Schizosaccharomyces pombe: one gene and its partners. The gene in region 4 interacts genetically with the main gene of each other region. Each region holds a gene or a part of one and is shown on either strand. Other genes may lie near its edges. The genes, in order: SPOM_SPBC365.16, arg12, pro2 and pfd1.

The links.
Region 1: mutations in pfd1 (region 4) and SPOM_SPBC365.16 together harm fitness more than expected from each alone (negative genetic interaction), as found in Schizosaccharomyces pombe (one large-scale study listed by BioGRID).
Region 2: mutations in pfd1 (region 4) and arg12 together harm fitness more than expected from each alone (negative genetic interaction), as found in Schizosaccharomyces pombe (one large-scale study listed by BioGRID).
Region 3: mutations in pfd1 (region 4) and pro2 together harm fitness more than expected from each alone (negative genetic interaction), as found in Schizosaccharomyces pombe (one large-scale study listed by BioGRID).

The regions. Positions count from the first base shown.
Region 1 is NC_003423.3:2,527,100-2,533,931, reverse strand, and holds SPOM_SPBC365.16 (uncharacterized protein), read right to left. Parts: upstream 4,266-6,832; 5' UTR 2,945-4,265; coding exon 2,111-2,944; 3' UTR 1,718-2,110; downstream 1-1,717. Other genes in the region: ccr1 (NADPH-cytochrome p450 reductase), read right to left, coding at 1-469.
Region 2 is NC_003423.3:447,986-454,113, forward strand, and holds arg12 (argininosuccinate synthase), read right to left. Parts: upstream 3,041-6,128; 5' UTR 3,019-3,040; coding exon 1,786-3,018; 3' UTR 1,455-1,785; downstream 1-1,454. Other genes in the region: nuclear membrane organization protein Apq12, read left to right, coding at 949-1,296; Clr6 and Rpd3L histone deacetylase complex subunit Rxt2, read right to left, coding at 4,004-4,431, 4,612-4,720, 4,770-4,894, 4,945-4,979, 5,029-5,054.
Region 3 is NC_003424.3:2,024,846-2,030,895, forward strand, and holds pro2 (glutamate 5-kinase), read right to left. Parts: upstream 4,023-6,050; 5' UTR 3,908-4,022; coding exon 3,853-3,907; intron 3,729-3,852; coding exon 3,430-3,728; exon of another isoform or gene 3,354-3,429; coding exon 2,499-3,353; 3' UTR 2,363-2,498; downstream 1-2,362. Other genes in the region: actin regulatory protein gmf1, read left to right, coding at 490-915; cytochrome c-heme-linkage protein Cyc2, read right to left, coding at 1,318-2,118; ER protein disulfide isomerase Pdi2, read right to left, coding at 4,384-5,463.
Region 4 is NC_003423.3:1,754,551-1,760,129, forward strand, and holds pfd1 (prefoldin subunit 1), read right to left. Parts: upstream 2,709-5,579; 5' UTR 2,547-2,708; coding exon 2,538-2,546; exon of another isoform or gene 2,441-2,537; coding exon 2,274-2,440; exon of another isoform or gene 2,123-2,273; coding exon 1,960-2,122; 3' UTR 1,716-1,959; intron 1,673-1,715; exon of another isoform or gene 1,572-1,672; intron 1,493-1,571; 3' UTR 1,351-1,492; downstream 1-1,350. Other genes in the region: DNA-binding transcription repressor, glucose sensing, Scr1, read left to right, coding at 1-736; protein Fis1, read left to right, coding at 3,257-3,638, 3,752-3,852; actin cortical patch component End3, read right to left, coding at 4,408-5,310, 5,535-5,579.

The DNA of each region.
Region 1 (6,832 bases), 770 kb from region 4:
CAAGGCCAAAAATTGCATAACGAATTCCTTCGAAGGGAGTATCTTCAATGCCTTTTCCACTTGAAAAAACGGTATCATCGCCCTCAAGAAGTTGCAAAAAGGCCTCCGCATTGTCCGTAGGTTCACCTTCACCGTAAGTTGCGAGAAAGAATACCAATAGTTTTGATCTATCAAAGTTGTCCAAGTCGGTTAAATCATAGTTCTCAAGATCGAAAACCATATTGGTAAGATTGAAGTTTGCCTTTGCTTCCGTTGAAAAACGGTAGGCAAAGTCCTCAGCGGTACCAGTTTGAGATCCAAAGAAAACCGCGGCAGTGAGCTTTTCGGCCTCCATCAACTCGACAATACTGTCGGTAGCCACGACTCGCCTCTCAGGAGCCTTTGGCTTGTTGAGAAAATTGTTATAAATAAAGTAACACAAGCTAAGGATCAAAATAATGACCAGCAATACATATTCATAAGTCTTCATAATGCAAAAAATATAATAACCAAATTTTACGAGTGTTCAACTTCGGGATTTAATCCGCCTTTTATTCCAAGGGTAAATGTGCGTGTAAAAAACGAGTGAGTCAACAGAATTGTCTGATGATAGGCAGATGCGAAATAAAGAGCGAAACAGTACTATGCTTTTTTAGCTTGAACCACTTTGAAGCAGATACACTAAAGCGCGAGACAATAAAAATGAAGAAACTCAAACAAGGGTTTCTATAGCCTCTTAAACAAAAAGTCAAGTATTTATCCAAATACTCTAAAGAATCTATAAAAATCAAGATGAAGTATGTAGGCTAAGATACTTAATTAATGAAACAACTGCGCTTTATATGATGAGCACAATAACCATGCCAATTGAACAATCAAATAGATGCTAGAAAGCTTCTAAAGTAATTGACTTCAAAAAGCAATCCTTTCGGGAGAAAAGCTAATTGTTTTGGCAAACGCTAATACCTGGTCGCTGGTAACTCCTGCACCTATATACTGCTATAATATAAAAAAAAAAAATATAGTTCGATTTTTCAATGATTACTTTTTGAAAATTTCTATTAATTAATAAAAAACTATTTAATAAATTCATGTATTAATTTTGGTTAATTAGCATGTTCAACGAAGTTAAAGTTTGACAGATATAGATATCCAACATATGTAGTAAGTATGGATGGAGAGATAAAAATGGGAATGGGAATGAGAGTATTTTTAGATAGAAATAGTGTGACGGCAATCGTACAATAGTTAATTTATTGTGGCAAGCCATCGCAATAACAAAATACCTCGGGAAGAGAATTAAGCGCAATACGAAATTATGGTAAATCGGCGATTCTACTAGTAGGTGTTTATTGTTTTACTAATTATAATGACGATCAGTAAAAAGTAGGTGAGCTTTGAAAAAACCGTTGCTATACACTTTAGGATTTATTTTGACGAACCAATTAATATGGCTACCGTAGTACGGTACATTTTGAACCATTCAGTAAGCTAGTAGATAGGAATAAGCTATCGTCTTTCTGGTCAACATTGGAATGCAAAAAGAAATAATCTCACTCTGTTTATCGGTTTTAGGTTTCTACCGAAAGCCCATTCAAAGACCGTAAAACACTATCGGCAAAAGCTGTTTGTAAACGAACGATAAAAGAATAAATTTGCTAAACAAGCGGTCTTTACGGTTGCTCGTTTTTTGACATACACAAATTTGATACTCAACCATACTAAACACAAACGAAAATGACTTAAAATAGAATTCAAATTTTATTTATTAATGTACAAAAGAAAACCATGTGTCTCTTTGCCTCTTTATTTTCTCTTGCAGTTTTTCTTTTTTCTTCAAATTCTTCTCCAGACAAAGAAAAAACTCAGACGCATAAAAATCAAGTAGAAAACTTTTTTAAGTGAAACCTTCATTACACATACACTATATAGTTCATTCAAAAAAGTATGCAGCTTCATGTTCCAGATAACAGGATGTATGCCACTTTCCTTATATAGGTTTAAACCGTAGTCCACACACTTTTTAGACACTATTCAGTAGTGAATAATAAAAAAATGATGAAAAATAATAATAATAAAATAATAATAATAATAATAGCCGAAAGAAAAAGGAAAGAACGTCATGTATGGACTAAGCAAGAGCAAATTGTTGTTTTTTCATAGTACGTTGTTGAAGCGAATCCAAATAAGTGGTTCGTAATTTACGATTAGTAACACCGCCAATACCAAAAGCCGGAAGAATCCTAACCATACGGGCGAATGTGCTTTTTAGTAAATGCTTACGAACTTGCATAACGCGGTTGGCTGCTGATATGTTAGGTCCACCTCTGTTATAAATGTCAAGGGACAGGAGATGAAGAGGTGTGCTAATAAACTGTACGGCACAGGGGGTGAGCAATTGAGCGGTGATTAAACCACCGGGGAGTAATGGAGCAATCATAGGAGGTATGTTGAAGGAAAAGGCGATGGTGAGTGCATCACGAAGTCCATAAAGACCGTAACAAGACCAAGGGAGAGGACGAGGAGAACCGGTGCCCCAAAATTTGGTAAAGAAACTATCCTTCAAGATGGATAAACCGCTGTTTGCAGCGGTGACAGAACAGAATTTAAACCAGCCGGAAGTTTCCGCCTTGAAGACGGGATTCTTGTGACGAATGTTATCCAGTGTGTCTATGGAATTGGCCGTCATATATGTGCCCGAGTATAATGTAAAGACCAGGGCAAAGGGAGCGCTAAAAAAGAAGGCGCCTGGCTTTGATAAAACATATTTGATGGAGCGACTAACAGAGCGTAATAAAGTAGAACGGCCACTAGTATTTTCGACGATTGAGCGGTCGATCGTCAAGATAAAGGGAGAAATCATGGCACTGGCGGCTGTAGCGGCAAATGCATCGATGCCGATCCGCTTCCAGGTATTGGAGGGAACGGGTTTGGGGGACAAAGGGGGTTGACTATTAAGAGCCATGTTAAAGTCAAAGAGTTTAAAAAAAAGATTAGAAAAGATAAAAAATAAGAATAAAAAAACCAGAAAAGATAAAAAAAATATTAAAAACTTTTTTGTGAAAATAATAAAACAAGCCAAGCAAAAGGTCTTTAGGTATCTATTTTTCTCTCTTTTTAAAGGTTTAATCTAATTTATACAACGTTAAAGCTGAAAAGAAAGAGACGATTGCGAAAAAAAAGCAAAGCCAAAAATAATTTTTCTTCAAATAAACTGCACTTCAACAAATGCAATGAAGGAAAAAATTTAAAACGTTAAACACGAATAGTATAGGCTAACGGGGCAGATAGTACAGGTGAGAGGAAATGTCACCAAAAAAAGACAATTAAAAAGATGCTGAGTAAAAATGAAAGACCGAGAAACGACGACAAGACCAATTGAACAACAAAAGTAGTAGTAGTAGTAGTAGCAACAAAAACAAGTAAAGAGAGGGAAACCAAGTAATTCACACTTTGGAAATGTATATATTCCTTTCTTTTCTTTTTCTAAGTAAAAAGATATATATTATATCAACAAAAAAAGGTAAACCCGAAATCCTAAAATTATTATAAATACAAAAAACCAATAATAACCACAAAGTCCAAGTTAAAGCAAAACCACTTGGATTGTAAGAAGGAAGATTGATGGTGGTTTAAAAAAAAATAAGACGATGATTGGGATTGTGAATAAAAAAATTCAATTCAATTTGATTCGTATCGTTAAAACTGCTTCGCTCAATCAAAACTAACAGTAACGTGAAGTAGGCGATATAGGGAAAAGACAGAACGATTTCCAAAATAAGAACGACAAGTGACTAAGCCGTTTCTATAGCAAACAAAGGCTAAGTTTACAAGGGTTGATCAATCAACGGGTGGAAATGAGGTATATCGATGCAATGATAAGACAACCTTGTCCAACAATCCAACTAGCCAATGAGAAAACAAAAGTCAGACAGCCCACCAAATAGCAGGTGAACGAGTAAAAAACAATTAAAACAAAGGGTTTGATTCCACGCTTTGAGAGAATTATCCCGTACGTTTGAGATGGGGAAAGGATGCGTAAAAAAAGCGGTGGTGGTACTGTGGTGGTTGTAGTAGCGGTAGGAATGGCAATATCAACAACACTCTTCAGTAACAAATAGTACTGGGCAAGCAGCAGTATGAGTATGGGATAGCAGTGAGTAAACAAGAGTGTCTAAGGACTTTAAAAGATATTGCTCGTAATAGTTGCTAGTTGTTCCCAGTTACGCTGGTTCCTATCCTTCTTCTCGTGTCGTAATTGGATCAAGTGCTTGAAGAGGCGAGCTGGAAGAGAAAAAAGAGCGAACGAAGCACGTTTTATATCAAGTTGGCATCAATTTTTAGTCTTAAAGATTCTGTGTTATCTTGCGTTAAACGGGTCAAGATAGGGTGATGATCCCCTTAATTAGCAAGACCGAACAACTTGGGACAACTTGGGATAACGGACTTTTGCAAGAAAATTAGGTGACCCAACCTGGTATCGAGGTAACAGCATCCGAGGTAAAACCGAATATGAGAACAAGTACCGACGAGCTTGAAGGGCGGCAGCGGGGCAAGCAAAAAGACAAGGTGGAAGATGCTGTGTTGAAGTATAGGAGGAAGTGAGATGAAGATTTTGTATTGAGATGTGTTGACGCTGTCTAATAAAGGAAGGTTGCTGACAAATAAGGCATGCTCTTGATTGTTTTATTTTTATTTTTTATTTATTTTTTTTTGTGGTTAATTGTTTTTTTTCTAACTCACTTACTCATCTAATCATTTTTTCTCTGGTCCTTTTTCTCTAGTTCCTTTTTTCCTCTAGTCCCTTTTCTCCTCTAGTCCTTCTTCTCTAGTGGTCTTCTCATCTTTCTAGTCTGGTATTTACTGTTTCACATGCAATAGTTCTAGTAGCGATGCAGCTATTCATTGCAAGCGACTATTCCTACAATGTAAACAGTGTAAACATTGTAGAGAGTCGCTGCTCAAAATCTTAGAAACGGCTAATACTCTTTTCTACTCTTGCTTTTTTGTTGATTTCTTTTCTATTGTTTTCTTTACTTTACTTTCTCTACTTTGCTTGTCATTGCTAGGTCTAGTCTTGTCGGGCGAAACAACCCAACAAGAGTAAATTTTCAGATGGTGACGTTGAAGACTGAGATCCTCGACATCAAGATTTGGGTGTGATAAACGAACGGACCCTTAGATGGATAGCGTATTCACACCCTAAACCCGAAACATAGGGTAGCGTTTTTAAGGCTGCCGAAAGGCGAGTCTACTATGGCCCCTACGGTGGATAAGATGGATAGTGAGTAAATCCAAAGGGTATTTGTCAAGCAAAAAAATAAATAAATAAAGCAATCAATAGGTGGTGTTGCATTCGCTAGTTTGCTTCATTTATTAATTATTACATTCATTAGTTTTTTATGTTCGTTAGATATTAAAAGATCATCAAACTCATCCTTCCTCTTATAACGTCTCTTTTTCTTTTTTGTTTACTCTTCACACTCTTGCATACTTTCATAATTTTTCCAACAAAACTTATCTTGTCAAAGCTCACCAAATTTTATCTACGAAATAATCTTTCTCTCTCTCTCTTCATTATCAGTTAGCTACATTCCATTTTCCTTCTGTCTCCCTACTTTCTCCCACCCCGATCATCCACCTATCCATCATCCTTCATCTACTACTGCTTACTATCCGTAATCTATAAGAAGTGTTGGCACTCACTAATCCTCTGAATTTACGGATACTGCTCTTGAACTCGTTATCGCTATGTTTCGAACGGCGACTCTCTTCCTAAACACTTTCTAGCAGGTGGTTTCGCGATCCCAATTGCTAAAACACTTTATTTCATTTTCCGTCCCCTGCTGCCAAGGAGAATTTCGGATCTAAATCGACGAGGAAGAAGAGGACGGTATTGCAAAATTTGAGAGATATTTACGTTTGTATGAAGTTTGAAGAAAAAAAAAAAAAAAAAGAGGATGAAAATTTTTCTAACATACAATCTTTCATCAAATCCTTAAACTTGTTTTAGTAGTACGCTTACTAGAAATCCTTTTTTAAATTTTTTTTTATTAATTACCTAGTATTTAGCTTTTTTTGTTTTGCTATTTTGGTTCTCATATTTTTTATCTTTAGTTCTATTTCTATTCTATTTGTTCTCTTCTATCCTTTCTCATCATTAGTCAGATAAAATAAAAATCTCTCAATTCAAATATTTCGATTTCAATACATTCGGCTTAAAATGTTTCATTCGGTTCGAAATGCTCTTTTATATTCCGTTCCTTGTTATCTTCCCCTTTATTTCATCTTAACTTACTTATCGTGTCCATTTGTAATCTGTAAAGTATATTTGCTAGTTTCTAATTATTTCTTTCTCCCTCTCTCTGTTTCTCTTGTTTCCTCTTACATGGTGGGGGATTGATAATTTTGGGCAATCCACTGTGAGATAAGTTTTCGTTTTTCTTACTCCTTGATGCGATAATTCTAAAGTCATATGATTCCTTTGCCTCACACCCAGCTATCGCCCCCATACTTAATCATACAATCTGTACTCACTTTTCATAGTAACTCTATCCTTTCGTAATAACCATCCTACACTAATCTAAATTGACGTTTTCCTTCGATATTACAATTTTTGTATGCGCTTTACTAGCTTACCTGTTCCTTTGTTTACGCATCCATTAAACTTTTAACTGCAAAATACAATTACTAGAAATTCATTACGAGTGCACACAAATGAATAGTTTTGCGTATACAATACTATAACCACCTAAATTAAACCTTGGTTTGGTTTTTATATACATACATCATCATCATTACTGTCGTAGCAACTGTACTTCTTCACATAACAAAGTTCATTACTATAGCTGTC
Region 2 (6,128 bases), 1.3 Mb from region 4:
TTCTATTCTGACATTTAATTAATTTTATGATGAAGATTTTTTTTATGTTCAGTAAGTAAAGCGATGCCTTATAACAATATTACAATGGTAATGGTATAAATAAAGATAAAAATTTTATAGCAATTGCAAGAATGAGTACTTTTGAAAACTCGGTTATTGGAGAATCAAGCTGAAGTGGTTGAAGCGAGCTAGTAATAACTCACTTTAAAGCATTTACCAATTGAAGTCTCACAAGCCTTTTGATATTTCGAAAAGGAAGGAATTATGCTAGGCACTCAGCATAAAAAGAACCATTTTATATGATAAAGGGCAAAGGGAAATTAATTTTCTCTCTATAATAGTAAGTATACTGTTGGATATTTATTCCAAAGGAAATATAGGCGGTGAATTCTACTTTTATCTTCTGATCTCTACGCTTTTATTATCAACCGTAAGAGTCTTTCTTTTATAGTAATAACAATCCAGTTAAAAAGGGATAAAAATACTTATCTTCCTTTTTATATATTACTAATCCTAAAAGAGCTTAGAAATAAGCAATTTTTTATTAACTAGTTCTTTATAAAAGCATATTTATAGAGAAAAGCATTTCATGAAATTATGCTATGTACAGCGAAATACGAAAATAAAATACCTCCTTTGACTAGAACTGTAAGCAACAAAGAGTAAACAATAAAAGCTTGTAGTCATTAGCAAATTAGATTTTTTTATCAGTAGTCTCGATATTAGATGAGATATGTTGACATAATCTGTTTGCCAGTTCTTTCTTTAAATGAGTTTTGTTTATAGAACCGTTTATTTCAACTCATCTTCCAATTTTTATTTTAACATATTTTATTAGCAAATGTAATCGTTGGTAAAATTCGCCTACAACGTCAACATTCAGTCAAAAAGCACACCTAACTACTCCCATCTCTATTACTCCCCGTTCATATTTTAACTTTTTAGAAAATGTCTTTGACATCCGTTTTATGGAATTTCGTCGCCAAACTTGCTGTGGACCATGGATTAAATACCAATCCTGATCAAGTCTTTCAAACCGTTGAAAATGTAGGCAAAAGTTTCGAAAAATATGAAACGTCTTTCCTAAAATCATTGTTCAATGGAAATCTAGGATTGAGCTTGCCCTCAGCTATTAATATCTTGACTTTGATTATAGTGTTATACTTCTCTTTGGTCATTGTAAATAAGACTACCAGTATTGCCCTTGCCCTCTTCAAAACACTTGCTGTAATTTCTTTTTTCTTACTAATCGGTTGTCTCTTTGCTTACTGGTTTATCAATAACGGATCTTTTTGAACATTGACTAGCAGCGTTATCTTCTTTGTTTTTTCAGATTACCGAGTACAAAGTGTTATGGATATGCTTTAAAAAATTTTATTTTAGTAATATATTTTTCATCTTTTTTGTTCCTCATTTCATTTATCATTCAAGATGGTTTCGACATTATTCTTGATTTTAGGACTGTATACGAAGAATGGCTAAAGGCCTGTAAAATATTTTTTAAATTAAAAGCATAGTATTGAGTACATTAAACATCTTAACAATTTGCGTTTGCAATATAAAACTTCAATTTCAATTAGTTACAGTTTTCAGAATTTATTTTTTTTTTGCAACAAAAATATTCAATTGACTTATCAGTGATATGAACGGAGTAATTCTATGAAATGTGAATATGAAAAGGAAGCCATCTCAAATAATACTTCTTATTTGCACAGCAGAAATTTGATTATTGCTTGGCTCAAGTACATGGTGAGTATGACATTATTATTGAGAACGACCTGGCATTTACATCCAATGTTTTCCTTCATCAGAGTTACGCAAACGCATAGACTCGATTTGGATGAAACCAGAGGTCCATGTAGGGTCAAATCCACCAAGCTCATCCATAGATGACAATTTCTCGTCATAAAGATGAGCAGTATCAGATTTACGACCGAGGACAGTGACATTGCCCTTGTAGACAGAAAGTTTAACTACACCGTTTACTACCTCTTGAGAAACGTTGTTAGCTGCTAAAAGCATACGAGTGCAGGGAGAGAAAAATTGTCCATTGTACAAAATTTTAGCGAGATTGAAAGTAACGAATTGGTCACGGAGAGCACGAACTTCACGTTCCATTGTTAAACCTTCCAAGTCCATATGAGCAGTACGCAAAATGGTTAAGCCAGGAGTTTCGTAACAACCACGACTCTTCAAACCAGAGAAACGGTTTTCAACAATATCGATACGACCAACACCGTTACGACGAGCGATAGCGTTCAATTGGTAGAAGATGGAAACGACTCCGCTAAAGGTACCATCCTTGCACTCTAATTTGGTGGGAGCACCCTTTTCAAAGTGAATGCTGAGCTCTTCAACCTCATCAGGAGCGTCTTTGGGATCAACGGTGAGCTTCCACATGTCCTTGGGAGGAGTCATACTGGGATCCTCGAGGATTCCAGCTTCATACGAGCAATGTACAATGTTTTCATCCATAGACCAAGGCTTTTTGGTGGTTTGAGTAACGGGAATGCCCTTAGCAGCAGCATATTCGAGCAAATCCTTACGACCGGCGAAGCGCTCGAAAAATACAGGCAAACGCCAAGGAGCAATGACTTGAACGTCTGGCTTCAAAGCGTAATATGCCAATTCGAAACGAACTTGATCGTTGCCCTTACCAGTGCAACCGTGAGAGACAGCGATACAGTTTTCCTTCTCGGCGATTTGGATCTGACGGCGAGCAATGATAGGACGAGCAAGAGAAGTGCCCAAGAGATAAACATTTTCGTAAATGGCGTTAGCTTGAGCAGCAGGAATGACGGTGTCATTGATGAACTCTTCACGCAAGTCCTCAACGTAAACCTTCTTAGCACCCACCTTCAAGGCCTTTTCACGGGCTGCATCCCAATCTTCCTCTTGACCAACATTAGCCATATAGCAGATGACCTCCCAACCTTCTTCAATAAGCCAGGCGAGGATACAGGAGGTGTCAAGACCACCTGAATAGGCGAGAACGCAACGTTTTACTTCTTGGGGCATTTCTTTCTTTTTCTTGAGGTGTAGTATATGTTAAGTTAGTAGGCCCAACCTTTTAAACTGATAGCGCACTGATGTAATAATATAGCCGACACTATTTTTTACTATCTTTCTCATCAATAAACCATCTTTATAGATAAACGATGGAAATTTTACACACATCTGAAAATTTTTCTTAGTATAGGAATTCTTAACAAAAATTTAATTGAGAAATGTGTGAAAACAGGTTTCGGTTAAATTACATGCAGGAATCGTAAATATCTTGTCACACATGCATTGATTAGTGTGTCTGAATTTAGTTTTGAGGAAGAAAGTGATACAATCATATCAGGGACAGTCAAACAATAGTTCTGATGGTTTCAGGTTTTTAAAGATTGATGTTTACTTGAATATGTTTTGCGATAAATCCTTGTAATCTTGTTGTTTCAAGCACTTACATTGTTCTAACAAAAAGAAGGTTGGGCAATTTCACAACAAATAACAATTTTAATACTTTGGGGAAATGAAAAAGCAAAATAAAGGATAAGTAATGTATTAACATACAAATGGCAAGCACATGTTAGTCGGTTGATTGAACGAAAAAATATACAACAGTGATAAATGAAATTATGTAACAGCAAACGTAAACGTACTTCCCTTGGAAAGAATAAGTAGAAAAAAGTGTGGATAGAAATTAGGATAGCCAAAGGGAATATGTAAGTAGCAGTATCTCAAATTATAAGACAAAGTTTCTAATAGCTGGGGATGCCAAGCTTGAGAAAAAACCCAACGTTATGAAAAAGTAAAAGAAATAATTAAGTTTCATTGCAGAAGAAATCACCAAAGACGTTTTAAAAAAGGATAATTCTATTTTTATAATGTCGTAAAAAGGAATTGTAAATCGAATGGAATAAAGAATAATATTCTCAACGTTTTATTTTGCTGACTTATACGCTTCATCAGCTTCAAAATAATGAAATTGAAAAGATTGATGAGAAATCAATAAATTTTAGGAATTTGGTTTTCCATCACTCTCATTTTTAGACAAAACTTGGGTATTACCATTATAGTCTTCACCTTGGCAGTAAGCAATGACTTTGTTTTTAAAACGAATGGCCCGAAGAAGGTCCATGCGAACGTTTGTCCAGCATCTAATAAACTCCTTGCTTTTTTCCAAAGCTTCTTGAACTGTGATCGTCAATTCTCTACACTGTTCAGGAGAAATCCCAAACACTTCATGAGGTGGTCCTGGTAGTGATGGGTCATCACCTAAAAGTGCAACCATCAATTGTTCGAGATGAGCAGTATATTTGTGTTCAGCAGATATAATTTCAAGAGCAGAAGAAGCAAGGATTGATAAATAATTTTGTTCAAATATGGAAGATATAGCAGGATGTGTGAGCAAGTCTTGTGGTTTTGTCAGCGGTGACATGATCTCTATAATTTTTACTGAGTTAGCAAGCGATCGATGTATATGACCATGATTGGCGAGTGCTGATAACTAATATTTCAATTCAATTCATAATCAATCTTTGAAAACACAACACGAAATCTCCAAAAGCACAATGAATCAAAAAAATTGTATGTCTAACATAACTAAGTGTGTGTACGACTTACCAGCTATGTTTATATCGTTATATGGGTTATCATGGTCCAACCATTCCGGATCTATTCTCCTTCGAAAATGAGAGACAACTCCTCTTTTAGTATTACCAATGTTATAGTACTATAAAGTAGTGGTTAGCAGTTTACGATTCCCAATTACTCACACATACATCAATGTCTATAGAGGAGCCACTAGAGTTACCGACGCAACCATAATATACATTTTTCGATCCTTTCTTTCTTTTTAATCCACGATTTGTAAGTGCCTCTCCAATGGAAGAGTCGGAATCCGAGGCTATACGAGATGTTAGTGAAAATTATAAATCTCATTTTGACAATAATTACCATCAGAATCTTCAAATAACGCCTGCTTAAACCTTCTAAATTTGTTAGAAAAATACATAATACGTGACATTCATAAAAACCTACTCAATTTGTTCTTCAAATTGCTTCATGGTTTTTGGCACGTCAGATATTCATACTTACTCAATCCAGTACAAATTAGCGATTTCTATCGCATTATAGCGTTTACATAAAATGCGAAAATAACCTGGCGTAAGTTGGGTTACTTATTCAATTTATAAATAAATAGTATTGAAACAAAAATATACATTGTTTTAATCGTTAGAGGTAAGCTGCTAGTATTCTTGAATAATAAGAAAAATCCCTTTCCGCAGGTAGGGCCTGGTTTATTTTGCTTTCTCGATATTCCTTTTCCAATTTTTACATGGATGGAAAGACCAGCTTTTTAACTTAAAAAAATATTTAAAAAAAATAATTAATCCATAGAGAATAATGTATTATTATGGAACTTTTATATTCTCACACTTTTTCTCCTACAAACTTATGTCGTTATAATGAAACAAATTGCTATAGTTTTCTTGGAAGAAGTGTAAATATTAAAAGGAAATTTCCAATTCAAAGATGTGGAAAGCATTAAAAAACATCCTTCCATTCTATTGAAAATTTTAAACAATTTGAAAATACCTCGAGTTTGGATTTGCTTTTTTGAAACTAGCGTTCGTCAAAAATAATAAGTAAATAAATAAAAATTTAAAATCTCGTAAAATTCTTACCAATTAAAACCTACTTAGTTTTTAAGCAAAACAAATGAGCAGAATAGTTAAACAACATTTAATTTTTATAAAAAAAGGAACTAATGGTGACAATCATGTATAAAGTCAATGAAAAATATGGCTCATCTGTTGTTGTTAAACAGATTTCAACTCAAATGAAAATTTTAGGATGGTAGTCGCAATTAGAAATTAAAGACAAACACTTAATTGTAAAATCTCTCAATACTATATAGTTCATTCAATCGCAGACAGCTCGATTCCAGAAGAATGTATATGTTTTGATACGAATGAGCGAATACAAGATTTAATGGCCGTTGAAGATTTTATTAATAAGAATGAATTAGTAGAAATTTTTTAACATTTAAAAAGTAAATTCTATGTATTTTCCCTTTTCTATTGATGTCCATCGTTTGTTTGTATATTAGGTAGTCGATTTGTTTGTTTACATTCTCG
Region 3 (6,050 bases), on a different chromosome or scaffold from region 4:
TCGTAAAGTATTATTAGCTAGTCCCGATGACCAAAGACTTTATGAATGTTATTAAAAAAGTGATTGCATTAACAGGATATTCTTAGGAATATTAAAAAAAAACATTAGTTCGTTCAATCTTAGGTATTATATAATATTTATCCTTAAGTATCCTCTTTTTTTTTTTTTTTTTTTTTTTTTTATTTATCAAGTTGTAAATATAACACAATGCTTAAATTTGCCAATTTACGAACTTCAAAGATATCACATACGTGGATATAGACTTTTTGAATATAATAAAATTGATGAATAATTTGTATTTAAAAAATCAATAATTATCTATCAAAACTCAAAAATAAATTTTTAACTCCTAGCATGAATTTAAATATCTTTTAGGATTCTGCACGAACGGTATTAATTCAACCCAACAAAAGCACCACCCTCGAAATTAAATTTCCTTAATTGGCTATTGCTGTGGTTTTACATAAATATTATAAACTAACAAGAAAGATGTCATCAGAGGCTCGTATGTTCACCATTTCGGATACCACGATGAAAGAAATTGATCGATTTCGTTTGCGGTTGAAGAAATCAGTTATGTATGCTTTCATTCTCAAGGTTGATAAAGCTACTAAGGAGATTGTTCCCGATGGAGAAATCATGGATTTACAGAGTATTGAAGAGGTCGCAGATGAACTCTCGGAAACAAATCCTAGATTTATCCTTGTTTCCTATCCTACCAAAACCACAGATGGTCGACTTAGTACTCCATTGTTTATGATATACTGGAGACCAAGTGCTACCCCAAATGACTTATCTATGATTTATGCTTCTGCTAAAGTCTGGTTTCAAGATGTGTCGCAGGTGCACAAAGTATTTGAAGCTAGAGATTCTGAAGATATTACTAGTGAAGCAGTTGATGAGTTTTTGCATTAATGCTTGTTTATATGCGAGTTGAAAATGAACCTTTCCCTCGTTCACATTTTATGCAATTAATTATTTAAAGATATTTTGCTTGTATGGGCTTTCTTTTTGACATACTATACCTGCTTAGCAGCAGATGCATAAACCCTCAATAACAATTAGATTTAATGGATAAAAATTTATACACTTAGAAACTTTTTAAATACTATTTTTTTTATTTTCTCTCCATTACCTAAGAAAACCGCTCCATTTCATTGATAACACGTAACGTTTAAGAGTTCCCTTATTTGTATAAATTTATTTCCAAATCGGTAAAAATAAATTATTTGAAGATAAACAAAAAAATCGTTTTTGTATTATGCACAATTGTCCAAAGATCGTGCAACCCAAAATCTTAAGCCAAAAATTTCTAAACTAAAGCTTCCAAACTTTCCCAAACGGATTGTTTGATAAAAGTCCTTTGACTTCTCCTTGTCTTGCGCCATAATCAGCCTTCGGTCCGGCAATTGTAGAAACAAACTTCTGGCTACCGCAGACAATGCAAAGGGTATCCTTTAAAGGAACTGTAACATTATCCCAATCCAAAATGTCATGAATGTTTACCAAACGATTTTGGACGGACTTCACCCTTACGTTTGGGCATTCCTTTTCCAATTCTTCTTTTAGCAAAGGGGGCTGACCAGGCCTTGAGCAGTATACAATATCGACTGGGGATTTAACAGACTGAGCTAATTGATATATAGGAGCAATTCCTGTTCCTGCAACGATAGCTACGATTCTTGGGTACTTCGTACAATCGAGTTTGGTGGTTTTAAAAGGACCCCGAAGTTCAATAGTGTCCCCTTCTTTCTTAGAATGAATATAAGAACTAACGGGACCCTCTTCATACTTTCTAATAAAGAACTTTAATTCATTGGCATCCAAGTACAAAGGGGTATATGGTCTCTGGACTTGCATACTGGGATCACGAATTGTTACCTTAGCAATCGGTTCCAAAGTAGTAAGGTGTTCAGAAGGGCTCTGAGGAACTAACGAAAACAAGCTAGCATCGGATGTAAGCTCTGTAATTTTATTAACTGTAAATGGAGCATAAATTTCGGGATTAAGTCCTGGGGGCTTATTCGAATTTTTATAAGCATAATAACCACCTGCGCAACCAATAGCAAGACCTGCAGCTAAGATTTTAGGCAATTTCCTGTAAGTCGAGCTACTCATTGTTTTCTTTGTAAGTTTTACTGTATCAAGGGGAGGTTGGAATTGCGTGTACTTATATTCATCGTTTATGAAAGCCAAATCCAATCACAGGCTTCGTAGGAAGTATCCGATATAATACCAACAAAATGTACTTTGTTAATTACACAACTCAGTACAAAACGTCTGATTATTATCTAAGGTTAATAGTTTTTTAACAAAAATAAACAAATCTTAATAAATTTTCTAATAGATATTTATGGTTCTGTTTTTGTATATTAAGTTCGTAAACCTTCCTTCTATAACAAAAAAATTTCAATAACAGTAAGCCAATAATAAAGGTAAAAAACAGAGCAAAAACAAATTTTAGTAGTTCTAAATAAGCTAGTGATTAAATATATACATCAATGCTCATCAGAACTAACTTGTGAATCATGATGAGAATTTAAACCATGAACTACTAAATAGTCTCTGTAGGCGACATATTCAGTTTCGTTATATCCTAAGATGGATGCAATTTCTTTGCTTCTCTTGCCTTTAATCAAATCTATTTCAGTACTGCTGTAATTAACAAGGGCTCTGCCAATTTCCTCTCCGTTGTAAATAACCGTAACTGCTTGGTGAGCTGAAAAATGGCCATGTACTTTGGTTACACCAACTGGTAGTAATCCTGCTCTATTTGTACGGGTTATAGCCTCGAAAGCCCCACGATCAATTTCCAAACTCCCATGTGATTTAAGGCCGTGCAAAAGCCAAAAGTGTCGATCACGGATCCTTCCTTGCTTTTTGGCTACAAAGTGGGTATGCAGAGGTAATTCAACTGACTCATTTTTATTATCAGAGGATTCCTGACGGATTATATCGAATATACTCGAAGGTTTAGAACCACGACATATTATAACATTTACGCCTGAAGACGTTCCCAAATCTGCAGCGATCAATTTCGTCTTCATTCCCCCTGTTCCAACTCCACTACCGGGTGTGGAAACGTTTGCATTTACCATTGATGTATCATGAATTTTTAAAATAGGCTTAGCGTCAGGGTTGGTACGTGGGTTGTCTGTATACAAACAATCAACATCTGTAAGTAAAAACAAATAATCTGCGTTTATCATGCCAGCTGTAATTGCCGATAAAGTATCGTTATCACCAAAACGGATTTCTTGAACAGACAGAGTATCATTTTCATTTACAATGGGAACTACCCCAAAATGTAGCAACTCGGAAATTGTGTTCGCTGCATTTACATATTGGGATCTCTAAATATTAATAGTTAGTACCCGTCAGTAATTAAAATAATTTTTTAAGTGTCAACAATAATTATCTGAATCTTACCTCGGCAATGTCGTTTCTAGTGATTAAAACTTGCGCAATAGGCTGACGAAGTTGTGTAAATAAGGTATCCCATAAGGAAATTAGTCTTCCTTGACCGACCGCGGCAATTGCTTGTACAGCAGAAAGCTTTGAAGGACGCTTAGGTAAATCTAATCTACGAAGGCCCATTGCAATACCACCACTTGAAACCAAAACGACATTATGACCCAACTTTCGAAGCTTGACAACGGTTTCAACGATTAGTGACAAATTTGAAATTAATGGTTCATGAGTCTTTTCATCACAAATTGACGATGTGCCTAAAATAATGTTAGCAAAGCGTTTGTGATGCCAACAACGAGCAAACAAAGAAATACATATTTGAAAAAGTGAGATATAAAATTCATACATATGCTTTTGTATAGCTTACTATTCCGTGCTTACCAAGTTTGATGACAATTGTGTAAGTCTTATTTGTGCTTTTCGACTTCGGAGACATTTTAAAAAAAATCTACAAAGTTACTGTTGAAATTTATTTTTTAAAAAAAGGATAAATTTTAGTGGAATACGACTTGTCTTCACCTTTACAAATCAACGGCCCATCTAGTAGTGGTAAAATAACGGAAAGCCTTATAGCCCATTGATAAGGAATAATTATATGTAGGATTTGGATTTCAATTTTAAGGATAAAAGCCTGTTAGAGTATATAGCTGTTGAATTTACCTACAACGTTCTATTTAATATTAATTATTGTCTTTAGTTTATCATATACGTAGAAACTAAAAAAGACACAAATCATTAATGGAGAGAAAATCTATTTTTATAAGTACATAAAAAATTGTTAAAGGGTAATACTTTAACCTACATATTCCTCAGTATTTATCGAAAATATCATGAAACTGTTGATTTATTTATAAACCTACGGTCATAAGATTAAGTTTTTTCACCTATAACGTAGCAAACATTTCCAAATCACTAGTGATTACCAGGAAGGAAGGAATTTAGAATGTTAAGGCGAGTTTTAAAATCATCAGCACTGGCCAAAGCGATGCTCTTCTGGCGTAAAAGTTTAGACAAACGCTTAGCTTCTTTATGTACCCAATTTTCATCATTTAAAATCTTCTCAAAAACCTTCTTGTAATACTTAGTCCATCTAGATGAATCCTCTAAGGCTAACTGCTTGACTTTTTCAAGAACAACTTCCTTGGCAGCGTTTGACATATCCAAAAACTCAGCAGCAAATTCATCGAAAGTTGGAATACGGCCGGCAGTAGAAAGTAAAGTGCCATCGGGAGAACGTTGAGTTCCAGATTTCTTATTAATGTACTCGATCAAAGATTCTAAAGAACGATCTCCTTCGTATAATTCAGGCTTATCTTTATCATCTTTAGGAAAGAATTTGATGGTGGGAAAGCTTGCAACTTCATGTAGCCTTCCGATGTCAGCAAAGACGTCTGCATTAATTTTAACAATCTCAACGTTTGGTTCGTTTTTGAATACCTTGCCAAGAGTTTCGTAAGTAGGAGCCAAACGCTTGCAATAACCGCACCAATCCGCATAAAATTCAACTAAAACATCTTTTTTATCGTCCATAACAACCTTGTCAAAATTCAAAGAATCGAGCTCAACTACATTGCTAGGGAGGACAATCTTGCGTTTTTTGATACCAGTTTTCTCAGACACAAATTGAGTCAAACTGTCAACGTCGCGAGCATTGGAGTACTGAACTGGTTCAGATCCATCAGGAGGAAACCAGATCAGTGTTGGAAAACCAGTAATGTGGTATTTATCAGCAACATCGGAGTGTGTATCCGCATCAATTTTGCCAATCAAGACATCATTGTGGTCTTCGAAAAGAGCGCCAAGTTCTTCATACACTGGCGCTAAAGATTTACAATGTCCACACCAGGTGGCGTAAAACTCAATCAATGCTCCTTTTTTAGAAGCTCGGATAGTATTCTCCAACTCATTGAGACTTTGGAGCTCTACAACACCTGATGCAAATACAAGCGCAAAAAGCGCAAATATAACAAAACTCAGCAGAGGTAATCTCATTCTAAGTATTCTACTTTTCCAGTGTCCACAAATACGGGACAGGTACAACAAAAGTATGTATATGTCGTTGGGTAATGTAAGCTGTACGAAGCCGGCTGTGTCATGTTTGAATGAGCTTACTGAGCATCGTTACCCATGTTACCTATCTATAACAAAAGGAATATTCACTAAATTGCACTATTTAGTAGCTTCATTCGTCACTGTATTCTTTATTCCACACTTTGGTAAGCTTATATCGCTAGCGCATCCATGAACGCATTTTAAGACCTACAAATTATTGATTGAACTATTATACAAGAAAGCTCTAGTGAACCTATGTTATTAAGTTCAGTTATTGCTGTTATTACAGTACGTTTACTTGTCAATAGTAAAAAACTACCGTGCTCGGGCGTATCCCTATATTCAAATCAACTGAGGGTTAGCATTCAGAAAGCTTTAAGCAGTAATAAAAATCACAAACAAAAAAAGTGAACATTACAAACAATTTTTTTTCTATTTACAATTGATTTGAGGTTTATTAATCAAAATTAATATTAATTTTAGAATTGAGTAATGAATTTGATAAAACACATATGATCAAGAGTGAG
Region 4 (5,579 bases):
GCAGACTCCCTATCTGCCTAGCAAATCTAACAGTAGTACTAGCCTTCATTCAATGTATGGCGTTGGTACTACGGCTTACGCTCCTCAGTCTTTACGTTATGCCCATTACAACTATTTGCCTTATTCTCGACCCAGCGTATCCAATGGCTTTGATGATGATTCTTCGTCAAGTGATTTTGCCCATTTCCGATACCAGCGTCGCTCTCGCCCGGTTTCCCCCTGCAGCACTGCACCGAGTAGTCCTACCTTTTCCACTAGGAGCTTTAGTCCCACCCCAGACGTCACACCTCTCGTTACACCGGCACATTCTCCTCGTTTGAGACCCATGGATGATCCATCTTGCGTTCAATTACCTTCTATCCGCTCGCTTTCTCTACGACCTTCTCAAGTTCCGTTAATTCCTCCTTTGAAGTGTGATCCTAACGCCTTTTCCGCGTCTACACCAGCCTCTGGTGCTGTCTCTCGTACTCCATCGTCCGTCTCTCTGAGCTCGCTCTCCAACGTTAATAGCAGCATGCCTCACAAACCTGCATCCCAGTCGAATGTTGGTCCAGTCCGTATATCATCGAATCGACGATCACGCAAGTTCTCCTCTTCTTCGCGTGTGAGTGTCAGCAACCTTTTGGCCGGATCACCGCCATCTCCTTCTTCATCCACAAAGTCGGCGTCGTCTTCCTATTCCACCACCACACCGGCATTTTCAATAGGGCCGTTAACTCCTATGACCAAGCCCTAACCCAATATTTGCGCTGTGAACGCTAGTTACCTTTGCTTCCTTTAAACCATCTAAACACCTTGGTTGTGTGTTATGCTATTTTATAAATTAAGTATTAAATTTTTTATTAGTATCATGAGTCTCGACATTTGAGGTTCCATTGTTCAGTTTTTCTTTTTTTTTTTGTTTTAAATTTTTTTTAAACTTCTTGGCATATAATTAGTAATGTTATTTTGTGTTTATTAGACTGCTTTCATAGGTGAAAATTTATGTTATATGTTTAAATTACTTCTTGATCAGTGTATGGGTACAATAGACCATAAACTAATAAAGTTATTTTTTTTTACCGATGGTGTTTAATCCTTTTTGCTTTTATTTAGCTAAATTTATTGTATATAAAGTTGTCTGCAGATCTTATCAAAAAGTTGAACTGCAGGATCTACATTAATGACTTTAACTAGAACTACAGCAAATTACCATCATAATTTAACGGCAACTTCACAATTCGTATATAGAATTATTATTTTAATTCAGAAACAAACATCTGATATGAGAGACCTTCAAGTCCTAATATTGTCGCCATAGTTAATATTAATACATTACTACATACTTTGTTAAACAATGATTAGTGACAGTTCGTTTCGGATAATTTTATTCATAAACTATAAGTAAGCTATAAACTATTCCTTGTGCATCTCTCAAAAAGAAATCAGAAGTTAATGGAGAACAAAACAGCTTCCACACAGTTAATGATATCCTTGAAAAAATATAGAACACCTTAAAGTATGGGTCAGTAAAACAGCCAACACAAAAGTCAGACAAACAGACGTTGAAAAAGAAAGAAACAAAAGGGAACGAGAAATCTCAGACTGACGTGCAAATCAGATGGAAAAAGTTTCAGCATACGATGCTCAGTTGAACTATGCTTTTTTGGAATCATCAAAGAAATCCTTTCTCCATTTACTTTTCCAAACGTCAATTCTAACAGTAGAAAACTTACCTTAAAAGTATAACATATACTAAATTCACAAGTCTTCAAGCTTGAAATTTAAGTATCCATACACAAAAGCGCAGTCACAGTGATCAAAATTTCGGCTCACAAATGCCCCAGTATTTGTTAGAAATGCAAGAAGATTAATGGAACAAATTTACTTTAATTCTACAGTTTTAAAGATAAAAAAGAAAGTCATAAACTTTCCAATCCCATAATCCAATTTACCAATGAGATGATTATAATTGATGTTTTAAGAAATCGACTCTTTTATCTTTTGTAAATGCTGCTCAGCATTTGAGGCCGTTGTTTCGTGATATGTTTGTTTCTTTTGTAGTGCTTCAATATCTTCTCTTAAACTTGCCATTTCTGCGTCCAAATGTGTACGTACGGAAGCCAAATCGGATTTCATAAACCTGTAAATAAACAGTTAGTAAATGACTTTACATATAGATTGACAGTACGGTCAATTCCATTCCAAAAGTGCTGTTTTTGCTAATTCCGTATTCTTTCCCTATTTTTATAGAAAAGAAAATAAAAATACATGTTTCATTTTATGACACTTACATCTTTCCAAGAGAAGTATATACGGCCTTATCTTCTCCAACATCCTCTAACTCTTTTTTGGCTAATTCACTTATTTTTAGTGCCCGTTCCTTGGCAGCAATCTGTACCATTATGGTCCTCAGTTGTTGCTGTGAATCAACCGCTTTCTCTTGTATTTGACTAGCTAACTAATATGCCCAAAGCTCATTAGTTTACCATGTAACACAGTTAAAAAGAGGGAAATTCCTAACAAAATAATTCTCTTCTCAATGATGAAATACGTACATTTTGCATTATTTAAAGGAAACTTGGGTATATCTCAAGAACTTATTTTTTTTGGATTGAATTGCTCTTTCCAAAATTATGGTACAAAGAATAGTCCTTTTAATACTTTTTTTATAGACAAATCAAGAACTTTTTCAATATATTTGAATATACCACCTTTACAAGTATATCAAGTCTTAGGCAAAATGTTGGTTAGGCCTTAAGTACAAAGCTGGCATGTTACAAGCTACTTTACACTGCTTTTATTATCGGTACGTTTCGCAAATGTGAATTACATAATACGCCACAATTTGTAATAAATATTTTGTGAAATGTTTTGCCATATCCTTAAGTTCTTCCTTACATAAATTGTTGGCGATGGCGTTCACAAACGAATCTTCATTTCATTCCTTCTCTGTTTCAAATTTTTGTGGAAAAAGCATATCCATATTCTTACTAAATCGGATTTCTGGACTTTTCTATTGCTTTGGAAATCCATTATCCTTGTAGTTCACTCATTTGCGCCTCAAATCCTTTATAATTGGAATTGGCTGTTTACATTGATAATTTAGCATTTTTGCATCATACTCAACCCTTTTTTTCTTCTTTTATATTTGAGTTGTTGAATTTTTTTTCAAGTGACTGTAGTTTTTTCAACATTTTCCGTTTATTTATATTAATCCGCCTTTAAAATAATTAAGGCACATTCAAAGACCAATATAGGAAGCAATAACGACATCATGACTGAAAAACACACCCTTCGCCTCGCTGATCCTTCTGCTATTGATTCAATTATTTCTGTTGATGAGTTTCTACAAATCAAGGAACAATACGATGCAGAACAACCTCTGATTACTTTACAAACCAAATTTAACCTTGCTTGGGCATTGGTACGCTCAGATTCTACACAGCATGTACAACAGGGATTATCTTTGTTCTGCAGCATTTACAAAGATTCACCGGAAAGGCGTTTGGAATGCCTCTACTACATTGCTTTGTCCCATTACAAATTGAAGCAGTATGAAGAATCCCGTCGTTATCTCAATATGTTGTTATCCAAAGATCCAAATAGCCCAGAGGCTTTAAAGCTAAAAAACCGTCTTTACGATGCTGTTACAAAAGGTATGTTTATTTTAATAAAACTTAATGAGGTATCACATATGCATGAATGTTGTGTTTATGTTAGAAAGATGCGTTATAAATAATGAAAAGAATCATTACTAACCCGTTTTTAGAAGGATACATTGGAATGGTTGTGGTAGCTGGTGCAGTGGTGTCAGTTGCAGCTCTTGTAGGTTGGGCATCAAAACGGTTGTTTTCAAAGCGTCGTCCTTAAACCGTAAACGATATTAATCACAAGGGAGCTTTCTTTTGCATAAATTCTTCAATTTTTTCTCCTTACGAACAATAGGATTGTGGATGTATCCTTTTCATGAAACGCGTATGAGTTACGAAGGCTTTGGGAGACATTATAGTGTGCACTTTTTTTAGAAAAAGAAGATTATAAATCGAAGCTTGTTGTTTTTATTATATTATCTTTTCTTCTTACCCAGTTGATAGTTCTGAATTCGCTTGTGTTTCTTCTTAACAGCAGGGTAATAAATTTACCTCAAGGAGGTTTTAGATTGTTATAAAAAGAGAGTGAGTATTTATTATAAAAGCTGAATAAGTTCCTCCTTTTATACTAATTCAAAAGTTTTGTATCGATTAAACCAAAAAATATAATGATGGACATTAATGAATGATTTTACAATCCAATTCCCTCTTCCTGTTTGAACAGTTTATTAAGCCCAATAAAGAAAGAAAGAAAGAGTGTACCTTCGTCGATTTTCCAAGAAAACATCCAAAGACTCAAGTATTTGAGATGATGAGCTTTATAAACGAGATTTTGTTAAGACAGACTACGAAGCCTTTCCTCTAGCTTAGCCACTTGAGACTTCCGACCTTCCAAGTGACGTCCCAAAACATTAAGTTGTTGTTCCAGCATTTTTAAGTCATTATCAATGGCGGAAGCGCTGGGGCCATTTGGTCCATCATTTTTTAGAGATTGAAGGATACCCAACTTATAGTCAAGTACTTTCTGTAAATCACGTTGAATAAGCTTTGACTTATTTTGTGCAATGTTAACATCGTCAGTTTCACGTTGAAGGGAAAGAATCTTTTCGTCCAATTTGGACAGCTCATTTCTTAATGAAATCAGCTCCCAGTCAGAGTCTCTCACATCCCTCGGGGCATCAAGATCACTCTTCGGCTTCGCACCACCCGTAGATGGAGCCATTGTAGGTGAAGAGTAATAGTTATTAGTAGAGTTGTAGGAATCTAAATTATAATCGATATTTCCTCTCTTAAAACTAGCCTTTAAACTGTACGGGACATCATTAGGAATACGGAATCCGTTGGATCTCTGAGTAAGGATGTGCAAAAATACTAAACACTGATCTTTCTGTATGGTTTCAGTACCCTGAGGATTGACAAGTTTCCAAGCCTTCTGAATTTGAGAGTTGGGAACCCCAAAAGGAGTAAATACAGGTGCCAGGCCATTAAAAGATACTTCTCCGTGTTTATTGCAATGTAGGGAGTAAATATCGGAATATCGAATTTTATCGGATGGAGAAATGTACCAATCAAATCCATCTTTTAAAACGGCATCTTCCGGGTCGGTATCAAGCGAAGGTACTTTGTGTAAGAGAGCAATATCATCATTTCCACGAAGAGCATCTCGAGCTGCTACTAAATGCTTTTTGGAAGTAGACACCAACGCCTCGGGTACTCTATCTGGAACGGTTTTGTAAACCTAATGGTTAGAAATGATGAAAATAGACAAAAAAAGAAACCCTAAAAACCAAAGGTAGCCTTTCACAATAAAAACAATCAAACAAGTGGAAGGGATAAAAGAAAAAATGAAGGCTTTACGCAAGCGCCGTCTTCTTAAATCATTCATATCTTATTCCATCTTTTTACATTTATTTAATCCATGCTTCACAGGTTCATTCATGAGTAAAGTAAGTGGTTTCATACCCCATTAATCAAATCAAAGGTGATTTTCATAGCAATTGCAAATTC